Linked DNA regions of Coturnix japonica. The protein of the gene in region 2 interacts with the protein of the main gene of each other region in a pairwise test. Links are inferred from orthologs where the notes say so. Each region holds a gene or a part of one and is shown on either strand. Other genes may lie near its edges.

Region 1 (4,014 bases), on a different chromosome or scaffold from region 2:
CAGCACAAGCTCTAGAGGCTGCATACTCAGGAGTGCAAATATAACCATATTAATGGTACAGCAATAGCAGCCTGATCTTGGGAAAATTTTAAAGCTTCAGAGTTGTGTATTACTTTGGAATCAGTACTTCTCATTGGGAGAAACAATGGGGAACACACCCCCAGGATTAGGTTTCTACAACAGGTAGAAATACAGATGTATTTCAATAAGCTATGTTGTTCCAGACAACAGTATGGATGTAACAGCTCTATGCCACAGTTAACTGTAAGACAAGGTTTATAGCCACCTTCAGTATTCCCCCTGTGGGGCTCTTAGAAACCATTTCAGCACTTACTGGCATCCAGGATGATTTCTTTTTGCTATTTAAAAGTAATTCTTTAGTAAGATAATGGCTTAGCAAGGCACAGCTTGTGAGTTAGAAAGAAACCTCATTGTTAAAGGTGTCTAAGGGATTTTAAGTCCTGAGAATAAAGCCACCTATATTAACAAGTCTTAATGATATAAAAGCATTGTAGAGCGAAGAGATTTGAGCTCCTAGGTACAAGAACACACTTTACTTGTAAAGATGGAGAACTGAGATTACACAGCTGAGTTCCTAATTCCCTATGCATATATATATATATATGAACAGTATGATGTTCATGTTTGCTATGCAGCACAGATTCTGTTTAACACAAGCTGTTACCTTAAAAGCGCTGCTTCTTCCAAATAGAAAGCCAAGGAGAAAATCTTATTAAATTCTGCCACCAATGGCACTCTCTGCTGGAGGAAAACTAAGTAGGAATACGCATAAAAAGGAGAACCTAATTCACATTATGGTTTATTGAAACACCTCCCCCATCATACCTGTAGGTAGCAATCTCAATGTCCAGGGCCAGTTTGACGTTGAGCAGATCCTGGTATTCCTTTAGGTACCGACCCATCTCGCTCTTTGTGGTTCTCAATTCATTCTCTAGTTTGTTGATTGTATCCTGTTGGAAGGCAGAACACAAGCAATGCAAAAAACCTTTGTGTATATCAACAATGCTTGCAAGAATTCCAGCACCCTCATCACTTCACCTTGATAGAAGGAGAACAGCTCCACATCCCAAAGTGCACAAAGCAACACTGCTTAGCAATGCTGGCACATCTTCCACCCCTACATCTCTATCAATAGCTTCATTCCCTATCATTTAAGGAATAACATTTCTTATGATTCAAGGGCTAAAGCATTCATGAGCTGTGCATGCTTCATTGACAACTGCGCTTCCCCCTCATGCTTTTCCTAATGCTAAGTGAATTCATTGCAATTTGAGGACAGAAGCATCTATGAGCAGCATATACCCCACTTCATTTATGACATCTGTGCTTTTCCCTTACGCTCTCTCTAGCACTAATGCTATTTTTAAGCCAATTCCTAGCTATTTGATTATTTAAGCACTAAGGAATCCATGAGCTGTGCATGCTTTATTTGATTTTTTAACATCTACCCCTAGTTTAACCGGGATATTTTAAGTGCATTTATACTAATTCTCTTATTTAAGGTCTAAAAAGCTGCCTGTGCTTTGTTTTGCTGCTGGTTTTTGATGCATGTGCATTCCCCTTAATGCTTTTCCTACTGTTAAGGCGATTTATAGCAGCATCCTTAAGGATGCCTCAGACCACAATGCTGCACTATGCCACGAGATATCGCTGTGCATCCGCAGCCTCCTCAAACCAACTCACCTGCAGCGCTGAGATATCAGCGCTCTGTTTCTCCTCCAGCTCCTGCAGCTGCTTCTCCAGCGCTTCGTTCATACCACGGGTAGCTTCGATCTCCAGCGTCTTGGCCTTAAGCAGCCTGCGGCTCTCGGATACCTCATCCTTGGCGGCTCGGACGGCGTCTGTGTTCTTAGCAGCGCTTTCGCTGAGCACAGTGAAGCGGCTTCGGAACCATTCCTCGGCGTTCTGCATGTTACGAGCCGCCAGCTTCTCGTACTGAGCGCGGATATCGCGCAGCGCAGCCGACAGATCGGGCTTGGCCGACACGTCCATCTCCACCGACAGATGAGCGTATTGGATCTGAGCTTGCAGCTCGGCCAGCTCTTCCTCGTGCACCTTCTTAAGGAAGGCCAGCTCATCCAGCAGGCTGTCCACGCGCTTTTCCAGCTCCGCTCGTGCCAGCGCTGCTTCATCCGCTCCCTTGCGCACCTCCAGCAGTCGAGCCTCAGCATCCTCGCGGCTCAGCACCTCCTCTTCGTAGCGAGCCTGCAGCCCCCTCAGGGTCTCCTCCAAGCTCTCCCTCTCTCCTTGCAGCGCTTGCTTCTCGCTCGTCGCTTCCTCGGCGGCCAAGCGGAGCTCGCGGATCTCCTGCTCGTAGAGGGCTCTGAAACGGGACGGCTCGGCGTGTTTCTGCCGCAGCACCAGCAGCTCGGCCTCCAGCACTTTGTTCTGCTGCTCCAGCTCGTGCACCCGCTCGATGAAACAAGCGAAGCGGTCATTGAGATCCTGCAGCTGGGCCCGCTCTTGGCTACGGATCGACTTGAGGTCGTTGCTGATGGCGGCTACCTGGCTTAGATCTAGGCTGTCTACCGAGTGCAGGAGGGAGCCTGAAGCGCTGGAGGTGGCGTAACTGCGGCGCACAGACACGGAGGAGACGGGTGCGGAGAGGCTGGAATACGCCGAGCGAGCTGAGCTGTAACCACCGCTCCGCATCGCGGAGACGTGCAGCCGGGGGCTGTCAGCATAACGCCGCTTGTAAGAGGGGAAGAACGGGTCGTAGCCGTACGAGCTCATGGCTGTAGAGGGGATCAGCGAGGGCTCTGCGGACCGGTACCGCCCGAACGCTGGTATTTATGGACGGGGAGGGTGGGAGGAACGACAGCCGGGCGGGGATGGGGCGGAGCGCTGCGTTGAGGCTGCTGTAATGGTGGGGGTCTGTGATGAGCCCGGATGATTATCAGAGCTGGTGATGAAGCGGGTGGGCTGCGTTCACTTTGCAGCTCCATCGTATTCGCCCCACATCGCTATTTTCTCTCGTGCCGCTCTGATGGATCCCCGGGGTTGCAAAGCCCCATCTCGGATCACGATATTGAACCATCACCCCTCTGTACCTCATCACCCCCTCTCGTACCTCAGAAACCCCTGAACGTGTGTATAAATAGCTCATTTCACCTTCCTTTCCCCTTTATGTTTGCAGTTCCAGCGAGGCTCCAGCCTTTCTCCCTCCGTCCTCACCACGTGCATTGTTAGCAGTGGTTCCTAATGACCAGGTAATGGTGAAAGAAAAGACAGTATGTGGTTTGTTGTACCAGCAAAATGCATTAATTCTTGGTTATTCAGCTTTGCTTCATCCTTTGAAACACTCACAGGGGCAAATTTAGAGCATAAGGTCTGAATATTTGGCACAATCTGACTACAGCAGAGACTAAAGCTGCATGGCTCCATCACAGCTACCCCTGGCCCAGGTTATGAGCTGCTAAGAAGAATAAAACAGTATTTACACAGCAGAGATTGCATCTTAAAAATGAAATAGGGAAACATAGCCCAAAAGGTGGTGGTACGTTGTCTCTATGTTGTCTCTCTGACTTAGAAGGGCTAATTTTAGTCCAATACACTTTCCAGGTTTTGCTTAAGGAAGAAGCAAATGCTGAAGCAGCATTTCTTAGCAGGAAGTACTGCAAAAACCTTCTCTTGCTCCCTAAGGAAAGGAGAAAGAAGTAGAATCTGTGTACCTGTCACCAATTGCAATGGTGCTCAGGTTATTTCTTGCATAAAGATAAGCTTGCTTAATGTGAATCATATAATAAAAGCGAGGCAGGGATGGTTTCATTGGGTTCCTTTCTATCTTCTAGTGCTCTCAGAATATTACCTGTTGTTTAGTATCACTCCCATAGGTTACACTGTACTTGATGGTGAGGTGTATTAAGCTGTGTAAGGCAATGGCCCCTCAAAGGCAGAAAGCTGTAATCTCTTCTCATTTGAGCTCACGTTGGATGGAATCAAGCGTGCAAAGAGCAAATAAAAGCTCGCACGTTGCTCCTTCACAGTAAGATT
Region 2 (4,046 bases):
TATCGCCCTGCGGAGCGGCTGAGGCCCGAAGGAGACGGGCAGCAGGGCGAGCAGCAGGACGCGCAACCCGCAGGGCACCCCACGCCCCTGCAGCTCTGCAGCTCGCTCCCGCTCCCCGGCCGCGCAGCAATGCGAAGAATGCGGGCTTGCCGGTTCCTCCCCCCGCCCCTCCGCGGAGCTGGGCGCTACTCACGCTGCAGGGGCAGCTCCCGGCCCGGGCGGGCTGCCGGCATGGCACGGGGGGTCCCCGGCTCCGCGACCCCTCGGCTGCCGCAGGGAGAGCGACTCGGCACCTCGCAAAGTCCGCCGGTCCCGCTCCGCACCCCGGTCCCTCCCACCGCCGTCCCGCACACAAAGGGAAGCCCGGCCCGGCCCGGCCCCGCCCGCTCCCGGTACCGCCCGCTCCCGGTTCCCTCCCGGTGCCGCTCACCGGCCGCCCGCTGCGGCTCCGCTCCCCGCCCCGGTCCCGCCCACCCGGGCGTCGGCACCGGCTGCTCCGCCCCGGTTCGTTGCCCTGGTAACGCCCGGGACCCCCGACGGGCGGCGGTGCCTGGGGGATGCACGGCCCCGCAATGCCACTCTCAGCCCCACGTAGCCCAACTCTGCCACTCAGCCCCTTACAGCTGCTCGTAGTCCCACACAGCCTCTCTCAGTCCTACAGAGCCCCATATAGCCCCTCTCAGCTGTACATAGCCTCACACAGCCCCGACCTGCCCCTCTCAGCCCCTTAAAGCCCCTCATAGCCTTATCCAGCCCCCACAGCCCCTCTCAGCCCCATATAGTCTCTCTCAGCCCCACTGTGGGTGCTGTAGGTGTTCACGCAGGGCTCCCCGTGTCCGTGCAGCGGCTGCCGCTGGTTCAGCGATGACACGGGCGGACACGAGGTGACTGTAAGCATTCCAGCAGCGACTCTAAATGTCGTATTGTCACTGCCTTAATTTACGAGCTGTGAGGGCAAAATAATGTTTATGCAAATAGCTCTGGGCGTTAAGTCATTTCCTGTCCTTTGAATGCTTCAGGTTTTTTGATGGCATTGCAATTATGCAGCGGGCGTACGTTGCGTCAATTGCATCGAGAAGAGACTAAATGGGTGAGGGGAGATGGACGGCTCCCAGAGCAGGACCCCAATGCACCAGGAGATCTGGGTGCCCACCGGGCCGGTGGGGTTTATCCTAAGGATGGTACTCGGGGCTGAGCATGGAAATCCCGACCCTCAGGGCTCTTTCGCATTGGAAGCAGCCCCTCTATCACCCTCATATTGCGCGAGCAATAGGGCTGCCCCCCCACCCCCCTCTCTCCAGCCCCAGCTCACTGCGTGCTGCCTTTGCTTTCTCTCCACGTTCCAACGCGGCGCCGCGGGCTCTGCCCTTCCTTTTAGAGCAGCTCTTTCCCCGTCTGCAAAGCATCCCTCCTCGCTGCCAGCCTGGGAGCAGACATCCGAGTGCCGGCCCGGGATCAATGAGCGCTGGGAGAGCAGCAGGAGGGCGGCCAGCCCCGCTGCCACCTCCTGTGCGTGTGTATGCAATGAGGGATCGGCTCAGCCAGGCGGCTTCATTCCCATTTCCCCCCTATTTGCCCACGAGTGTGGATGGAGGGAAGCCCCATTGATTGTGCCGATGGGGGCCCTTTGCATTTGCAGTCTGCTCTGCCCCGAGCAAATATTTAACCTACATCTGTAACACCTCGGGGGAGATGGGGGGAAAATACGATATCCTGGCCAAAGTTTAACCTCCCCCTCCATTCCCTTCCAGCAAACTGATGGCAGGAATGCAGGCGTGGGCACACCTGGGTGCTCTCTGTAGGAAATTCCCACCGGGAGGATCATCAGATGGAGCGAGAATCATCCCCACAGAGCAATTAATGATAACGCAGCTCAGTGCTGTAACTCCACTCCTCCCTGAGAGCCCCAGTGAGGGGATCCCCGTGCTGAGCCCACAGGAGCAGCTAACGAAACCCCACAGTCCCTCGTTGCCATCTGAGCTCTTTAACGAGTTTTAATTAAGTCTTAGTGTGCTCCTGAGAAATTTGTACTCGTTTCCAAGTTCACAGTGGGAATTAACCCAACCCGCAGGCAGCGATGCTGAGATAGGGCAGCACTCAGGTGACCCGGAGCTGCCCCCACTCACCCACCCAACATCAGCAGCCCTGTCTTTTTCTCCTGCTGTGCAGCTGGAGGGTCCCTGCAGGGCCTGGCCCCATCCCTGCCCTTCTCCCCAGGAGCTGAGCCAGGAGGTGCAAATACAGGCAGAAAGGATGGCAGCGGTCTCCTTTAAAAAAGGCATCCCGTCCTCGGCGAAGCTGTCTATTTTTAGTGCCCTCGGAAGCACGTTTGGTTTTGGAGGAGACGCTCAAGCAGTAATTGTGAATAATTTAGGGAACTGAGTTTGGAGGCTGATGTCAGCAGCCGTGCCACTAAGGGACACTGAGTGCGTGGCTTTGGCTGCTCAGAGCTGAATCCCACAGGGACACGCAGCCATAGGAGCCTCTGTGGGAAGAGCAGTGCTGCTGTGCCCTTCTGGAAGGGGAGAGCAATGGCACAGCTCTGTCGCCTCCCAACTGCTCGGCCTGCAAACTTACCCTGCCATGCATTATTCACAGCTCTCATCTATAATGCACAGCCCTACACCCGCACCTGGAGCTGCATGGCGATGGATGGACACTGCAGCTCACTGCCATCGCTCCCACCCCATGTCTCTCACCTGGGGGCCGGGCCCTGCTGCCCACCGCCTCGCTCCTGGCAGTCCCCTGGTGCTCTGCAGAGCCACGCTCCTCCATTTGCTGTCCTTAGTCCAGCCCAGCACTGAGAGTGCAGCCAGAGCACCCAGCGCATGCATGGCACTGCCTGCTCCCCAAAGGGCCCCCAGGGCGGCTGCTGCAGAGCAACTCTGTCTGCAGTGGAGGAGAAAGCGACGTCTCCTCTGCTCCTGTCTGCCGGTGCCTTAAGAGCAGATTAAAACCCAGCCCTGCAAATTGCTGACACAACCTATTTCTTAGATGGGTGGACAGGTGGACTTTTCTCCCTCTGCAGATAACAGTGCTCAGATGGCAGCACGTTTGCTCCCTGAGTGCAGCCATCCACCCCAGGGTCTCAGGAACACCCAAACCTTTCCTGTTCCTGCAGCAGGAATGACACAGAGCCCCATTTCCCTCCCATCAACCCGCACGTGCAGGCTGTCTGAAGGCAGCCAGGAACGGTGAGAGCAGGGAGATTTGCAAAGCAAACAGCGATCAAACAAAAAGGCTTTGGTTACTGTTCTCGAGGCTGTTTGCCAAGACACACAGATCATATCGGGCTCATTTACAGAAGGAAAACCAACGTAATTAGCGCACAGGAAAACACTTTAATGAAAAGAGCCTTCGTGTAAAAAGCGATGGGACACTGCCCAGTGCTGCAGCAGGACCCAGAGCCATGCTAATGCTGCATGTCCCAGCTCAACATGGTCACACCGCTGTGCTGCATGCACTGCAGCAGGCAGTAACCATGGCAGCAGAGAGATCTGCACGTGATAGCAGCATTTCTGCAGTACAAAGGAGCCTCTTATCTGGGCTGAGCCAATCGCCAGGCTGCTGCTCATTCTTCCACCTTGTGCTAGGACAGAGCCGTGCCATGTCATGCCATCCTATGCCATCCCATGTTGTGCCATGCCATGCTACGCTATATTCTGCCATGCTGTGCCTCGCCATCCTGTGCGATCCCATGTCATGCCATCCTATGCCATGCCATCATATATCATTCCATGCCATGCCATCTTATGCTATGCCACCCTATGCCATTCCACAGCATGCTATCCCATGCCACACTATGCCATACCACCTTATTCCACCCCAGGTCATGTCACTCCATGCCATGCCATCTTGTCATCCCATACCATACCATTTTATGCTATGCCATTCCACACCATGCCATATCACCCCATCCTATGCCATACCATCTTATGCCATTCCATGCCATTCTGTCCTATGCTATTCCATCCCATGCTATGCCATCCTATGTCATGCTCTTCTATTCCATGCCATCTTATGCCATCCTATATCACTCCATTTCA

The links.
Region 1: the proteins of KIFC3 (region 2) and NEFL interact in binary tests that used the Homo sapiens proteins (3 or more experiments, as listed by UniProt). The two-hybrid records come from large-scale screens. The link is inferred for Coturnix japonica from reciprocal best matches to the Homo sapiens genes KIFC3 and NEFL.

The regions. Positions count from the first base shown.
Region 1 is NC_029537.1:2,098,864-2,102,877, reverse strand, and holds the start of NEFL (neurofilament light polypeptide), read right to left. Parts: upstream 2,804-4,014; 5' UTR 2,755-2,803; coding exon 1,705-2,754; intron 972-1,704; coding exon 804-971; 3' UTR 1-803. UniProt on the Homo sapiens protein: Neurofilaments usually contain three intermediate filament proteins: NEFL, NEFM, and NEFH which are involved in the maintenance of neuronal caliber.
Region 2 is NC_029526.1:1,981,476-1,985,521, forward strand, and holds the start of KIFC3 (kinesin-like protein KIFC3), read right to left. Parts: upstream 2,850-4,046; 5' UTR 2,835-2,849; coding exon 2,700-2,834; intron 1,394-2,699; exon of another isoform or gene 1,313-1,393; intron 496-1,312; exon of another isoform or gene 431-495; intron 388-430; exon of another isoform or gene 194-387; intron 1-193. UniProt on the Homo sapiens protein: Minus-end microtubule-dependent motor protein. Involved in apically targeted transport. Required for zonula adherens maintenance.